2 linked regions of the Rhinolophus ferrumequinum genome follow. The protein of the gene in region 1 interacts with the protein of each later gene in a biochemical or structural test. Links are inferred from orthologs where the notes say so. Each region holds a gene or a part of one and is shown on either strand. Other genes may lie near its edges.

Region 1 (8,377 bases):
TTCTGGGAACCAAATGAGACCAGGGCATCCAGAGAGCATTAAGGGGGAAAGTGTCATGAAGTGAGGTTAGAGAGTTAGGCAAAAACTGAGTTATGCAAGGCCTACTGGTCCATGGTGAGGGGTTTAGATTTCTTGGTTTTTTTTCTTAATCCAGTGGGAAGATATTAAAGGAATTTATCCAGGGGAGTGACACCATCTAATCTGTGTTTACAAAAGACCGCTCTGATTATTTTGTGGGGAACAAACAGCACATAGTATTTTTGTGCAAGAATTTTTCTGTGTAGAATTTTCTGATGGATTGGGTATGGAGATAAGGAAATCGGCCGTGACTTCATGGCTTCTGCCCTGAGCAGCTGGGTGGGTGGCAGTGTCTTCCTGGAAGGCAGGAGACTTAAGGAGGAGGACTTATTTGCAATGCAGGGTGACGTCTATGCTACAGCTATGACAAAACACAGAAAATTATTCACAGCCAAAGCCAGATGTTGATGACCTCAGACCTAAATCACTCCAGCAGCCTCCTGACTACAAAGCGTGCTAGCCTAACCTCCTGCCTTTCCCCGCCGTGGTCCTCCATGATTTTTAGTTTTATGTTTTTATTGTATCACAATAAAAACATACACACACGCATAAAATGTGTAATTTTATTCATTTTAGGTGTACAGTGGTATTCAGCACATTCACATTGCTGCACAGTCGATTTTTATTTTTTAATATTTTATTGTTCTCATTCACCTCTCTTCCCCCTGCCAATCTCAGGAAAAAGGCTGCCTTGTAGCTTACCCCACTTATTGATTCGCTTCCTTGTATGACAAACTACAGAGAAACAAAAGCTGATATGGAAAGTTTGTCAAAGAGGCGGTTACAACTTTTACCCACAGAGTGTAAAAGGAATAACTAGATCCTTATGGTGTATAAGGAAGAAGTTTATAACAGCAAATCATTTTAAGATAGCAGTTATTATAATTCAATTGAGTTTAACATATTTTATAATTTTAAACATTTTATTGGAACAGTAATAATTTACCACATCCATAGCCAGTGTAAGAAATTTAAAAAGTTCCAGTTAACCAGGCTTTTTTTAATAAAGCAACTAGTTATTTTATGAGAAAATAAGTAGGTTTCCATAACAAACCTTTATGGAAAGGTTTCCATAACAAACCATTAAAGTTCATCAAAAAATTGCTTAAGTATTTTACCAGGAAAGCTAATTTCTTCTTAGAAACAGATGAATTATATCATACAAAAAGGTTCTGTTTTAGACCATATTTGAAAAAAAATTATATTTTATGGTAGGTAACATCTGACTCTCATGGGAGAGATTCTTGTGCTTCTTAGTAACAAGACAAAATTTTTAATTATTGATAACATACTACGATGACATTGACTCAAGCAAGACTTTCGTCTACCCAACATTGTTTTCTGGTGTGTGCCCCAAAGATCACTGGTGTGTTCATGTTCTCCAGCCTTCTCTCCTTCCTTATCTTTACATCCTCATCTTTACTGAGTGTAGCATTTTTTATTTCATAAGACTTTTTATGAAATATGATTGAAAGGTAAATTTCTGTAACTAAGGCCACTGGAATAGCAAGGCTCATTATTTCTGATTTTCACATTATATTCGTAAAGCCTTGATTAAATTGTTTTGCTAAGATCTTCATTTGCCCCAGGATTTGCCTGGAAAGAAGAGAGGTGGTTTTCTCTTCCCAGTTATATCTTTATATTTTCAATATTGACAATTTGCTTAAACATGCTCTTCCTCCTGTATTCCCAAGTTCTATTAATAGTACAATTATTTTCCTGGACATCCAAACAAAAGCTCCATCATCCACCTGGCTCCTTTTATCTTGTCCTTCCCTACCTCCTAATACTATTTTTATAAGTTGTCATATCCATCCCATTCCTCTCTAATCCATCTGACACAACACTAGATCAGGATTCACTTTTCGTTGTTCCATTGTGATAACTTCTAATCAATCTTTCTGTCTCCAGCATCTGTCCCTCCAATTCAACCTACACATTGCTTCTAGTTTTATCTTCCTAAAGCACAAGAGGTTTCTGTACAGTTCAAAAATGTTAGTGACCTCTGTTACCCGACAAGTAAAGTATAAAATATTTCGCCTGCTTTCCATGACCCATTCATTTTCAATGAACCTTACCTCCTACTTTTCCCTCACCCTAAGGATGACCAGGAGGAGAAACTTTGTCCTCCCTTTGGACACACACTTCAAGTGGGGGCTTTGCAACCTCCTTTAAGGCAATATGTTAATACAGTGGTAGTTAAGACTCTAATGGAAAAACATCAGAGAAAGCAGTATAAAAGCAAGACCAAGGGACATAAAGAAGGTATTTAAAAGATGGTGCTTTTTTATCCCAGCTTTTTAGGGGTATAACATATACAGTAAAGTCCACTCATTTTATGTGTACAATTTGATGAACTTTGGTAACTATATACTTAAATTCATGGTAGTCGTGTAACCACTATCATAATCTAGATAAAGAACTAAATGTTCCATATCCCTAAAATATTTCCTTGTGTCCCTTTTGCAGTTGATCCTTTCACCCACCCACCCACAGCCCCAGGCAATCTCTGCTCTGTTTTTTATCACTATAATTATGTCTCTTCCAGGGTTTCATATAAATGGAATACTGTAGTACATAGTCTTTTATGTTTGACCTTTTTTACTTGATGCCTTTTTACTTTGACTTGTTTTTGAGTCAAAGTTATGATGCTATTGAATGTATTACCACTTTGTTCTTTTTTATTGTTGAGTAGTACTCAACATTATGTTGAGTATTATATATAATGTTTTTAATCTATTCATCAGTTGGTGGACATTTGGTTCATTTTCAGTTTTAGGCTATTATGAATTATACTGCTATAAATATTTGTACACAAGTCTTTGTGTGGACATATATTTTCACTTTCTTTAGGTAAATTCCTGTAGGGTATATAGTGAGTCTAGCTATACATTAGTCCAAGGCACGGGTGGAAGCATAGGTAGCTAGAGAAGTCCACAGCCCCAAGCCTGTGCCAAAAGCTGGAGATAAGCTCAAATTCTCAGTATTTTCCTGATTCCAGAGCCCTAAGCCAACAGTAAAATAACACCTAGTTTGGGACCTGTGTACCCCATAGGGTCCAGTAAAGACATTTACCCCAGAAGAAAGCCCATAACCCAGCCCCCCAAGAGGGAAATTTCCCATAGAAGATAATTCCTGTGGAAGATGAGCTCACAGACAAGAAATACAAAACATATAAGAATGTTGAGTTCCATGAAAATAACCTGAATAACTAATACCAAAAAATACCCAACAAAAGTCAATAGAGCAATCTTAAAGTTACTTAAAAATAAATGTGTATTTAATTAATTGTGTGTTTATTAATTAAACAATTAACACAGAGATATCAGTTGTTGTGCTTTTCTTTTCTGCACGTCTTGTATGTGACTCTTCTTGTGAGTCAGAGGCATCTGCCCTACCGTGAGAAGAACTAGAATATTATAGTAGGAATGCAAAGACAAAAGCAATATTTGCTTTGTGGCATTTTTTGCTTTTAAAAGAAATGACTGAGCATCAAGACAGAATACCTGAGAGTAACAGGGCATAGACTTTAGAAAAAGAATAGAAGAAATGCTCCTTACCCTATGTCTGACCCCCAGGGAGATTAGGTAAGGATCACCTGGACTAGATGGCGAACAGAGAAATGGGCTGGATATGAGAAGACCTGACTTAAGAAATTCACAGGAAGATGTCAAGAATTATCTGTGGCCAGAGCTGAGCCAAAGTCTTAAGACAAATTGTGACCAGTTGGGTGAACACCGTGTCATCTATATTTGCTATTCTTCTCAGTTCATGGGTGAAGGCATTCCATGGACAGCCATCTGCATAGCACCCCCTAAATTACCCAGCAAGACACCTGCCTATCTCCAAGAATTTGTCAAGCACCTGCCAAATATTACAAAGAATGGAGCACCTTGCTAAGTAATAATATAGAATAATCTCCAAAATACATCGTTAGGAGTATAGCAAAGTATATGATAGTTTATATAGTAGGGTACCATTTGTGCCATTTATAAAAGAAAAGTATAAAAAAGAAAAAGAAAAAGAAAAAGAAAAGTAGAAAAAAAAGTATAATATAGAATATATGCTTGGCATACAATTTAGGTAGATTTTTAAAAACACACTAAATAAAAGTATAAAAATGGGTTAGAAGGACATGAAACTCACAAATGCAGTTTCCCTCTGTGGAGGACCAAGTCAGAGGTGGGGCTTGGGGGCGGCCTGTAATATTTTATTTGTTAAAAACAACTACAAAAAAAAAAGATAAAAAGCAAATATGTTAAAAGTTTTAATTCTGGGTGATAGGAATATAAGTGTTTGTTATTTTATTCTGCGTATTTTCCTGTATTTTAAACAGTTCTAGAAATATAAACAAAAAACACCAATACCCAGCACAATTCTCCAGATAGATCCTTTTACATTCTTTATAGTCAAGTAAATTCTAAACAATCAACCTTGACATTATTAATAAATACTCCTTTTAAAAAATAAAATTTTGTCTGAGAGGTTTTAAAACACTGGGAAACTGGCCGTGGCTTTAGATTTCACACTTCAGATGCAACAGGATGGAACCATTGTCAAAGGGAACGAAGGGAAGTTTGATACTTGCTCCTGTTTGACTCCTAGTGCAGACCCAGTTGTTCATTTCCAGCCCCTCATTCCTCCAAATTCCTGTTAGCTATTCTGTTGAGGACGCAGGAAGACTTACCTCAGAGCATACTCATCTGTCCCTGTGCCTTTTTGCCCTCTGTGAAAAATAAAACCTTCTTTTTGTAGGCGGAGCTTGTGAGCAACACCCTCTTTAAAAACCAGAGTCTCCACGCTAACCTGATCACTTCAGTTCCAGTATCCTGCCCAGCAAAGGAGCAATTAGCCAAAATGATGCCTGGAGGTTTAACTGAAGCCAAACCTGCCACTCCAGAAATCCAGGAGATTGCTAATGAGGTGAGCTAATGCACCCCACGGAAAGGTTTGATCCAAAATTTGAGTTCCTGGGTTGGTCCTGTGCTAAGTGTGTGGGTGAACATGAAAACCAAAACACTGGGAAATGTGTGGTATTGTTCAGACTTTCTTACAACTTAGTCTTTTGAGATGAAAACTCTAATAACCCCAACTGTGAGAGTGAACTTGAGCCAAGTCCCATCCCTCCTCTGTGCTTTAGTTTCCCCATTGGTAAAAGAAGGATTTTTATTGGATCATCTCTAAAGCTTTTACAATGTGTGATGTTAGGATTACTAATTCAGTTTCTGATGAAACTTCTAATCTCACCAAGTAGAACCAACATGTAATTAAAGTCTGAGGTTAACAATTGAACGAGTTAGACTTCAAATGCAGTGCTGGGAAATTTTTTAAATGGGTTGAATGAAGAACAACATTGCAAAGCCAATGCCCTTACAACTTCCTACAAATTTGACTAAATAGACAATGTTTCAGTCTTTCAGTATGTAGAAGATGATTAAACTAGTATAAAAGAGAAGTGGAATAGTCTATGACAACTCCAAAATTGATTATGGTGGAAATGACTCTTAATGTTTTTAGCAAGTTGATACATTTTTTAATGTGTTGTTTGATTAGCTATCACCTATATAATAAAAATATATTATATTGCATATTTAATGAAAAGAAAATACATATAAATTACTATCTTAGGTTTGTATCATTCTCTAGTTTCTTGTATCAATCCTTCTTGCTATTTCTTGCTGAAACTTCATTCTATGACACTGTTTGCAACCAAGATCAGCTTCTTATGGGAGTGGAAGAGATGAGATGCTTCACGTTCGGTCGCCGGAAAGCTTTCTAAGAGATCAGATGTCTGGAATTCTACCACTCATTCTTTGGGGCTAAATATTTCCCTTCCAAGAGTCCTTTTAAAAAAGAAATACCTTAGAGTTTTTCATTTGTTTGCTTTTTGTGGTTTAGTCTTGTGGAAGATAATACTGACTTACTCATACCTTCCTTTGAAGGCCTATAGAGGGTCAGTGTTCTTAAACTTGAATGTGAACGCGAATCACGCCTGTTAAAGTGCTGATTCTGACTCAGTAGGGCTGGGGTGGGCCTGATACTCTGCATTTCCAACCTGTTCTCAGGTGAGGCCCATGCTGCTTGTCCATGACCTCACTGACCTTCAGAACCAGAGAAATGTGATATCCTAAGAGGACTGTAGCGATGGGCTTTCTAAACTCAGAGTGCTGCAAAACAAATTCTCAATTTCATTTGAGCAACCAAGATAACACCTCTTGTCCTATGGATCTCAGAACTGTAAGGACTAAATGAGATAGATCATTTGCATAGAGATGACTTGAAAACAAGAAAGAAATACGCATTGGTGAGGCATCACAATTCCTTATTTCACATTTTTGCCTGAAATCATCCCTGATCCTAGAAAATACTCCTGAGACTCTCCAGGGACCAGAGCTGTAAGGGGGATGGGAAATAACAGATTTGAAATATACAAGTACAGAAATTTTTAATGATTTTTTAAAAGCCTATCTTGGTGAGCAAGAATTTTTTTTAATACTAAGAAGTTACCAAAAGGCCTTGTGTTTGTAATACCACCCATCTGTGAGCCATATATTATATTATAAATTCATTTGAATGTGTGTTTTTTGCTGCTTACCTCAGGCTCCAACCTGAGAAATGAATATCAATGAATCCTTCCTTAAATATCTCTTAGGTGTCCCGCAATGTATTCAATGTTATAGAAGATACATAAAGACTGTAAGATGTGGTCCCTGCCTTCAAGGAGTATACTGCCCATGTAGGGAAGTCAAGATATCTGGAACATATAAAACCATCTCCAATTAAGTACTTTTTCATAATCATAGGCCTTGGACCAGGAAGGACTTCAGAGTTTGCTTATCAAACCCCTTATTTTCAGGTGAATAATTACTGTGTTCAGCTTCTCCAGTGTTAAACTCCTAATTATCATTTACCTTCCCTCTCTCACAGGAGACAGCCTTAGGGAACAATTCTCAGTTAAGTGTTGGAAGATAGAGGAATAGTCAATCTAGGAAGCACTTTATAGTTTAGGAAGCACTTTCACATCAATTATATCATTTATTCCCCCACAAACAACCCTAAGAGGCAGGTATTACTATAACCACTTTTAGGTATGGAAATTTGATCAACACCTTCTCCAAGATTACAGAATTAGGTCCCCCGGCAGGGCCAGACACATGGGTAGGTGTTGGTAATCACATATCTAGTATGATTTGAGAGAGTCCCAGGAAAGACCACCATCACCTGTCATTTACCTGACAGTTTCAGTCCTTTGATTTTTTAATATATTTCTATTTGAAAAATCACTCTCTAAAATACAGGTACTTTTGGAGAAGCTGATGTTTAGCTTTCCTTGTCTTTATCAGAGCTTCTTAGTGAAATGCCAATGGAAGGAAAAGCCCCATTAGGCAGGGAGGGGAGGGGGAAGTTATCACATAGAGGGGGGCAGCATCGAAGGAAAATTATAACTGTAGGAATTTGACGTCAAAATGAAAGAAGAATGTTGGATGAGGTCAGAAAGAGAAGATCAAACAAAGAGCTTGCGTTTAAAATGACTTGAACATTTTGAAGAGAGAAGAAAAGAGTTTCCCTGTCCTAAAAATAACAGAGACTGGATGGTAATTGTGGAATCATGTACGAAGGGATGCTAACGGGACTTGGGTCCAGAGTACACCTGAAAGAAACCTCCTCTTCCAAGATTCTCTGTATTAGTCGAGCGTCTTTGCTATACCTCTCGTCGATCCTCTTTCCTATTTGGGGAGACAACTTGTCATGAATCTCTTCGTTCAGAAAACATTGATTATGTAAACAGTACCATGTGAATTGCTATAGGAAGGGAAAGGATATAAAGATAGTCTCTGCCATTACGGAAATTGACAAAATAGATTGGAAGTAAGAGATACACACAAGGAAATAAAGAGCCATACATGACCCCATACATGAAAAGCCATAATACATATAATTAAGGACCAAATGAATGGCCCTACCAGCAAAAGCTTCTGGACCATTATTGCTGATCCATTATCTTATATCAAATGTAAAAAAGACATTGGATGAGAATTCTGACTATGTTTATATACAGGAAAGAAATGTTATTCCAATAATTATTTTTAGAAGTAAGGGCTATTATTACACATGCACAGGTGCATACACATAAAATAAACACACACACACACACACCTAAGTCCAACCCAATTACTGAATGCCGTTCCTGTCGTACATAGAGATCATGATCTTTGTCTGCCAGAACACCACACAAACACCCCATGTGCATACCTTTAAGGACACACCCCGGGGCTTAGCATGGCATGGCTCTCACTCA
Region 2 (8,601 bases), on another chromosome or scaffold:
GGTTAACAAAATTACACAGGTTTCAAGTGTACATCTCTATAGTACATCATGTATATATCACATTGTGTGCTCACCACCCAGAGTCAGTTCTCCTTCCATCATCATATATTTGACCCCCTTTATATGGGGTCATATATATTAAACCCCTGTTTAATGTTACGATTAAACAGTCATATGTCCATTTTCACCCTAAGTGGGATAAAGACTTCTGGGTTTCCAGAAGGTGCTCAAGGTTTTGAGGACCTGGATCCAAATAGGATTCCCTTTCCAATATTAAATGTAACTATTTTTGGTATTTTATACCTGTTCTTGACAATCCAATATTTATTGTTATCCAGTTCTGCTCCTTCAAAGCCGTAGCCAACCACCAGTACTCCATGATCCAGGTCTTCACTGCTGCATTTTGGTTCATAATAAATGCCTGCGAAAGTCAAGTTCAGTCCTGGTGTGATGCCCTCCAAGTGACACATGACAGTAACTCAGCTTAGCAACCACAGTAAGGGAGGCATCTCAAAATTCAGTTGGATGACAGACATCCAGATAAGACTTAAAAACAAGATTTTTTAAAAAACAATCTAGGCTCAGGATTTTGGCCCTCCTATATTACTAGCAGCAATACAAATTGCCACTATCATTTTTATAAATAACTTATCAAGAGGCATAAACAACCATTTGTTGAAACCTTGTCATTCTACTTTTAGTATGCCAGTCTAAGGAAACAGCACAGAACACAAAGTTACTTGAAGCAAGGGTTCTTTCCAGTTTTAATTGCAGTAGTAAAAATATTTGAAAATTTTAAAGGTCTAACAGTTTTTTAAAAAGTAAAATAAGTAAAGCTATACCAATCGAATTATAAAGGCATTTAATATATTTATGAAGTGCTTAAATAATGTCAAATGGAAACATCAGGCACAAATATTACATGTACGGAATATACAGCTAGTTAAATCCACACATCCAGAAATTCTACATTGAATTCTCCATTCCAAAGAAAAAATTTTGCTGTATGTCAGGGTGGTTTTCTAATTTTTCTGCCTAAATTTGTACAAAGAAAAACGCTTACCTTTTTTATAAAACTGGAAGGAGCTATAGCTTGCATCTATACCAACAGAGATGGGTCCCACACTTGCCACTGCCTTCATAAGGGCCTTCTCCCGCTTATGGATGTCCACGAAACCAGTGTCATTCGCAGCAGAAAACTCAGGCTTGTATTTGCAGGATTCATCCTTTCAAAGGTAAAAGCGAGAAACTTTATTCTGACCCACCTCCTGGGGAACATGAGTTCAACATAGTTTGTAGCTTAATGATTTCCAGGTCAAGTTTGTCTAAAGCATTCCAGGAGGTGCAATGTTATTGGTTCCTTTGAAACTATCTGGTGTCTATTCAATGAGATACAGTCAGTCTACTCGTATCTATCCATAGACCTTTTTCCCTCTTTAGAAATACTATACATAGAATGGTATATATATCTCCATGTAACACAGAGGTAGGAGCAGACATATGGTAACCATCTAAACAGAGAACTGTGCAGTTCTGACCGTTTGCACATATAGATTCTACAATCTAAAATGTGAATTATAAATACGTTATCTGTTTTCTCTAAAGTGTTCAACACTCAAAAGCAGAGCTGGTATGATAACAAGATATGAAGCGCCTTTTACCTTTGCATGATATGGGTAGGATTCCTCTGAGTCCAGGCCTCTGTTTTCCTTGACATACTGGAAGGCATTGTCCATTAGGCCACCATCGCAGCCCTCATTGCCTTGAGACCGAGAGCAGTCCACCAGGTTCTGCTCACTCAGCGAAACAAGTTTGCCAGTTTTCCGGAACATCTGTCCTTCAAGGGCACCAGTTGCACTAAAAGCCCAACAAGAACCACACTGACCCTGAAAACACAATTTTAAAGTGCTCTGTCTACAAAACAAATAGCAAGATGTTGACAACAGCTGATATATCTGAAAGCTCTTTTAAAAAATAGCAAACTGCATGTTGTTCCCCAGTCCACCATATCAAGGACACTAACTCCTTTATGGTTTTGCTCTAGGAGAGAGAGCTGCTGCACACTGTCCTACCTGATCCTTCACAGGAGTTACATAGCCCTTCTCTCTCCAATCCACAGAAGGGGGGATCTCAGCCAAGGGAGGTTCTCGGAATACTTTCCCCTTCCTGTGCTTCTGGTATTGAAGGCCATTCATCACCTGCCTGAATTCTTCACTGGTCTTCAAGGAAAAGGAAATAAATGTTATAAAGGAAGAGATTATTTTGGTAAATCAGTGAGGAGCAGAAGCACGAAACGGTAAGCCTTCTATGCTTACCATGTCACCAAAGGCATTCATTGCCATGGTGAAGCTTTGTTTCCCTTGGCTGTATTCCTGATTGTGCAGTTCAATCATTTTCATATTCTTCTCCCACACTGCTCTCCTCCATCCTTCTTCATTCTAGAGGCAAACATATACCGTATTGTCTTTATTTCTATTCAGAATCAACTCACCTTCACCAAGTGGATTTGCAGAGAGAGAGGAACAGAAACTATGGCCGGGGCTGGCTTTATACTTCTGGGAGTTGTTCTCCAGCACCCACAAAATAGGGATGAATGCCCTATTGTTCTAAGCAGTAGGTACCATGAAGATATTGCCTTGTTAAGAGCTGGCCTCAAGAAGCTACTCTCTGCTGTAAACTCCCAACAGCTTGGACCATTCTCTGCAGGGTCCCTCTGGACAGTTTCAGTCGTTATCAACCTCATTATATAGTTTCCCATGTGTTGCCATCCACTGGTTCCATTGTCCATCTAAACTGTGATCAGCTTTTGGAGCAGCTGAGGCTATTCCCAGGCAAAGGAGATTCAGGGTGATTGAAGGATTCATGTTTCAAAAACCTAGGAAGAGCAAAGGAATGAGTCTCTGATTAGACCAGTCCACCACGATGGAGTAAAAACATTTAATTTATTCTCCCAAGTAATTACACAAGGACTGTGGAGGAAGGATAAGGCTGTGGGTGGAGAAAACGGCCCTGAGACCCCATTCCAGAGCCCAGACAGGGCCAGGCCCTCCAGATGTGAGAACCAACTCAGGGCCGACCGAACCCGGCAGGGGGCGTGCCATCTGCTCCCAACTCTCCAGCACAAGCCAGTCGCTTGCAGAGGATGTTGTCGTGGACAGGGAGCGGCGGCCCCCACAGCACAGCGGACATCGACATCGACTCCTGGGACCCCCTGAACCTTCGATCCCCAAGGTGTCAGCCGCCCTGGTTCTCGAAATAGTCCCGCCACTCCAGGCTGAGGCCGGGGCGGGAGCAGGGGGGGGGGGGACGCTCACCTGCTGAGGGAGCAGCTGCCCAAGGGCTGTCAGTACGTGCTGTTCCAGGAGTCTCAGGCCGGAGTATGGCCCCCAGACCGACGATATAAGGACCTAGTATTCAACCAGTCGGCCCGGCCCCCACGGCCTGCCCGCCCCGAGATTAGCTGAGCCGGACTGTGGGCGGGGCCTTCGGGTGCTGAGACTCGGGGCGCGTGACCAGGCTGGGTCCCAACTTGTCCAAGAGCAAGTTGGACCCTGGGGGAGGCGAGCTGGGGGCCCTGGGACAGCGCTGAGAGGGTTCCCGTGCCTCCCTGGGACCCGGATCAACGAATTACCTCTAATTCATATCTTTGGTGGGTGGCTCACGAAAAGAAGCTTACAGGGAGCCCCAAGTGGATTTTCAGCGTGAGCCTGTCTGCACTTTAGTCCAGAATTTTTGGTTAAACTGTCAAGAGGGCTGAGAACACGATAATCTACTCTAGTTGTTCCTGTTTATTCCACAGTAAATGTGGAACGAAGTGGAAGAATTCAGAGCCTACAGGCAGATGTGTCCTTATTGTTTCGGGATGGGTGCATCTGGGTTTTGGAAGGATTTGGAATGGAATGGCAATGCCCAAAGCATGCCCTAATCGTGGCAAGGAAAGGGGAGGACTGGTGGTTCTCCACAGAAGGCGTGGCATTTTGTAATGCCCCTGTCCTGTCTTCCACACTCGGGGATTCAGGGATTTTTCTTCCCTCTCAAGCCTGTCTCAAAACCAACAGAAGTAAGTTATTTACAGAAAAAATGTTGAAATGGTATTGGCTGAAAGTAGAAACTGCTTTTACCTCCTCCCTCTCTGCTTCATGGATTGTTGTCTTCGTCAATATCCAATGTGCTTTTCTTGAGATTTAATTTAAGAAATTTATTTTGATGACTTTTGCTTCAATGATTTTTACAGGTGATGTCAGGATTTAAGTGACAGTTTGTGAAAACGCTTTAAATGGAGGAAAAATATATTTATATATTAAATATTAATATACATAAGAATTTAAGGAACACAAACCAGAAACATTGTATGTTGGTCCTTTTATTACAAAAAAATATTCATTGCTGAAAATACCTTCTAGAAAAAATATCATTACCTCATTTCCCTTACCATTTCACCTTTTTCCATGCATATTTTGAAGTCTTTTGATAAAAATGTGTCATGTTTCATGTGGACTTGTAAACTAATTTCTATTTAGGATTAAAATGATAAACCTTCTAGAAGCGCTATCAGTTGCATAGTTGTTGTTGTTGTTGTTTTCCTGTGGTGACATATACATAATACAAAGATGTGTATTTTAATGATTTTTAAGTGTACAATTAGTGGCATCAAGACCATTCACATTGTTGCACAACCATCACCACCATCCATCTTCAGAACTTTTTCATCTTCCCACTAAAACTCTGTGTCTATTACACAATAACAATGCATTCCTCCCTTCCCCCACCCCCTGGCAACCACTATTCTATCTTCTCTATCTATGAATTTAACTACTCTAGCTGCCTCACATTAAGTAGAATCATGCAATGTTTGCCCTTTTGCACCTGGTTATTTCACTTAAGATACCATCTTCAAGGTTCGTCCATGGTATAACGCATGAGAATTTCCTGTTTTAAAAAGGTGAGTAATACTCCATTGTGTGAATGTACCCAATTTTGTTTCTTCAGTCATCCCTGGATAGACATATGGGTTATTTACACATTTGCCTGTTTTGAATAATGTTGCTGTCCACATAGTTGTACAAATGTTTGAATTCCTGTTTTCAGTTCTTAGGGTATATAACCAGAAATGGATTTGCTGGATATGATAAGTTTATGTTTAATTTTTTTCTGTTAACCGTGGTGGCTGGACCGTTTTACATTTCTATCAGCATTGCACAGGGAGGGTTCCAATATAACATGATTAGCAAACATTTTCTCGAATTCTGTGAGTTGCCTGTCATTAAGTCTATAGCGTCCTTTGATATACAAAGTTTTTAATTTTGATAAAGTTTGTTTTATCTATTTTTTCTTTGGTTGCCTGTTCTTTTGGTGTCATAACCAAAAAGTTATTATTAAGTTCAATATCATGAGGCTATTCCTTTGTGTTTTCACCTAAAAATTTATTATATATGGTATAAGGTAAGGGTCCAACTTAAGTCTTTTGCATGTGGACATTCCATTTTTCCTGCATCGTTTGTTGAAACGATCATATTTTCCCTATTGAATAGTTCTGGCAATCCCATACAATTTTAACAAAATCAATCCATTAAAAAATTCATTTTAAAGTCTTTGAGGAAATCAAAGCTCTTCTTTCTCAAACATGACTAGAGGCTGAAGCTCTTAGCTGGTTACAAATGTATGTCGTATTGTAAATGACTGGAGGTCTAAAATTTTTAAAAAATATACCAACACAATCAATCATTGAAAAAAACCTCAGTCCATATTCTAATATATGGTTTTTCAGTTGCCCTTGGGTCACAGCTCCACAAGATTGCACACGGTGGAAAACCTGCCACGGCATGACTGCCTGCACTTTAGGCAATAGCCTCACAGGAGGCTGTGTGGCAGGTCCTGCTCCAAACAATGGCATTGAGACAGGTTAATTAGCATGTTGTTAGGCAGACAAGAAAGTCCCTAGTGGAATAAACAAAGACAGCCATATCCTGAAACTTCAGGTTCTGAGATAACTCCTTCACTCCAGGACAAAATAAAACAGCGCCTTGAGGTTAATAAATTATCTCATAAATCCCTTTTGGCCTGGCAAACAGAGCAGATTTGATAGATAGGAATGGGTTATTTTGCTAATCCCTTCAGGACGGGCTAACAGGACAAACGTGATAGATGACTTCCATTAAAAGGCACCAGCTCCCCTTCCCCAAGCAGGCAGGGGAAGGTATAAAAGTAAGAGCTTTTGCCGCAGTCACTGGGCACCCCATTCGGGACCCCCTCCCGCTTGCTCGGGAGCTCTGACCCTTTGCTTTTAATAAACTACTCTCTTTTTAAAACTCCTCACCTCTCCTTGGTTCGTGTTTCCATTCTTCGGTCTCCCGAGACATGCTCCCAGCACTCACAATAAAAACCTCCTACATCAGCATCCCCTTTGTTTCTTGGGATGTGGTACGATACACTGGAGAGAAAGCATGGACTCCTTTTCTACCAAATGTGCCCCAAATCTGGAATGAGACCAAGACATATCTAAGTGCCAGAGAAATATGGGAGAAGGCCATTTAAGCAAGAAACTGTAACATCTATTTGTACAAAATCTGTTAAATGATGAATTACAGAAAGACGGCATAGCTAACCATTTTGTTCTTATTCCTAATCTCCTGTCTCCATTTCTTTGCCAGACAATCTGGGTAAGTGCTAATTCTTAAAATGGTTACATTTTATGCAAGTGACCAATCCTCAGCTCTGCCTTTTGCTAAAATGCAGTTGGCAGATTTCCCAATTCCTATTTAAAATACAGCATCTGTGAAAGCATATTCTTGTGTGCATCTGTCTGGATTTCTTTTGCTCACTAGTAAAACAGGATGTAATTCTTTACCCCATCTCGAAGTTTCAAGCCATAGGGGAATGAACAAATTAGCGTGGTGGTATTCAAGACCCCGAGGCCATTTACCTCTCCCTAATATGACAACCCCCTCCAATTTGTTTAAATTCAGCGAGCTAGGAATTACTCTTTTAAAAAGTTACTCATTTGTAGTTTATTACTATAACGAGCCCCTTGTAATTTTAATGCCTCTGGTATTTTGGCATCTATAATAGAATTAAATAATTTGATTCTCAATTAGACCTTTGTTCACAGGCTAACTGCTCTTCTTGCTCAGCTTCTCTTGTTCTCACAGTATAATTTTGTGTTGCTGATGTGTTGTTTCTTTGTCAAGCAGGAGGAAATAACTTCAGGGTCTCGAGGAGAATTTATTAGTTTGTTTTGCAGAAGGAGGGAACGTCTCCAAGGTAGCTGTGACCAGCTGCAAGCGCCCAGGGGTCTGATGTGGAAAATCGTCATCTATGACTAAAGAAACAGCCTTCTTTCTCAGTTCTCTGAAACTCCCTTCTCCCCCTTTCCTTTTAAACTCCTCTGCTTGTTCTGCAACTTCAGAGATACTCTTAGGACAGAAGTCTGCTGTCTTCCCAGGCTGCTGGTTTCCTGAATAAAGCAAGCTTTCCTTTCCACTGACACTTGTCTCTAGAGTATTGCCTTTCTAGTGGCGAGCAGGGGTTGTTTTTTTTTTTTTTTTGAACCATTACCATTTACAATTTCATGGAAAAGAACCTTGATGTTTGTATGAAGCCGCTTATGAAATAAATTACTTTTGTATGATTCTATAACCCTGATTTTCCTTTAGGGCTGAACAGTCAGCTAATTCATTAAGTAAATCAATCAACAAGAACTAATTAAGCTCTGGTCTTGTGCTCATTGTCCTCTGCTTGGTGTTTTTTCAGCATTTCTTTAGAAACAATTTACAAGTCCCTTTCTCAAGCTTAACCTTTTCATTAAAAAATCTTGAGCTGCACCCTTCACAACTAAGATTGAAAGGACAACAACTTGACCTGGAAAAGCCCTGGAAGTACACACTGTCCCCAGTAAAAGTCCTGTTCCCCTTCCCCAATAAAATCTTAAAAAAAAAAAAAAAAAAAAACTAAGGTTACTGCAGTAATCTTGATTTTACAGCAATGGGCACAGAACATGATGGATGTATGTCAACGAAATCATGACAAGTGTCTTGGAGCAGGAGGTAACCAGGGAGGTGACCTGTAGCACTTCTTCCCGCCCTCTCATCCCCATCCCCAGGTCGGTAATCCATAAATTCTCCTTTGGAGGCCAGAGGATCTCTTCTGCAAATCTGACCTGTGCGGTCTGCCATCCACTTGACTTCTCCCCCTGGAGAGGGAGAACACCATCTGGGCGCAGGATGCTGTTACTAATAAAATCATTTAAGGGAAGTGTTGTTGCTTCCGTGGGTCAGAACTGTGTTCTATACTGAGCTCTTACATGCTATTTCATCAGGCCATGTTAGCAGTGACGCTGAAGAGAGATCAGATTCCTTATTCAGAGGGCGGGTTAGTTCTCCAAAGTGGAGGCTGGGTTTCTCAGTGGTTCCTGTGGATTTGAGGATAAGGTTTAGATGTGCCCAAGACCGCAGCTCCAGGTCTGCTTTGAGGACAATTAACCAAGGTAGGGAGGCAGCAACCACTGGGGATTATGGGGACATAGAGGACATAAGGAAAAAAAAATCATAAACCACCAAATTGGAGTCAGTAAAATTCCAAAGTTTAATCTGAGAGGATTTCCTT

Evidence for each region. The genes of interacting proteins can lie anywhere in the genome.
Region 2: the proteins of CSTA (region 1) and cathepsin L1 form a complex in vitro, tested with the Homo sapiens proteins (2 studies listed by BioGRID). The link is inferred for Rhinolophus ferrumequinum from reciprocal best matches to the Homo sapiens genes CSTA and CTSL.

Annotation. Positions count from the first base shown.
Region 1 is NC_046285.1:47,138,913-47,147,289, forward strand, and holds the start of CSTA (cystatin-A), read left to right. Parts: upstream 1-4,855; 5' UTR 4,856-4,935; coding exon 4,936-5,001; intron 5,002-8,377. UniProt on the Homo sapiens protein: This is an intracellular thiol proteinase inhibitor. Has an important role in desmosome-mediated cell-cell adhesion in the lower levels of the epidermis.
Region 2 is NC_046295.1:6,969,532-6,978,132, reverse strand, and holds the start of cathepsin L1, read right to left. Parts: upstream 3,467-8,601; 5' UTR 3,315-3,466; intron 2,876-3,314; 5' UTR 2,865-2,875; coding exon 2,739-2,864; exon of another isoform or gene 2,625-2,738; coding exon of another isoform or gene 2,622-2,624; intron 2,439-2,621; coding exon 2,316-2,438; intron 2,220-2,315; coding exon 2,073-2,219; intron 1,887-2,072; coding exon 1,662-1,886; intron 1,227-1,661; coding exon 1,064-1,226; intron 422-1,063; coding exon 304-421; intron 1-303. UniProt on the Homo sapiens protein: Thiol protease important for the overall degradation of proteins in lysosomes. Plays a critical for normal cellular functions such as general protein turnover, antigen processing and bone remodeling.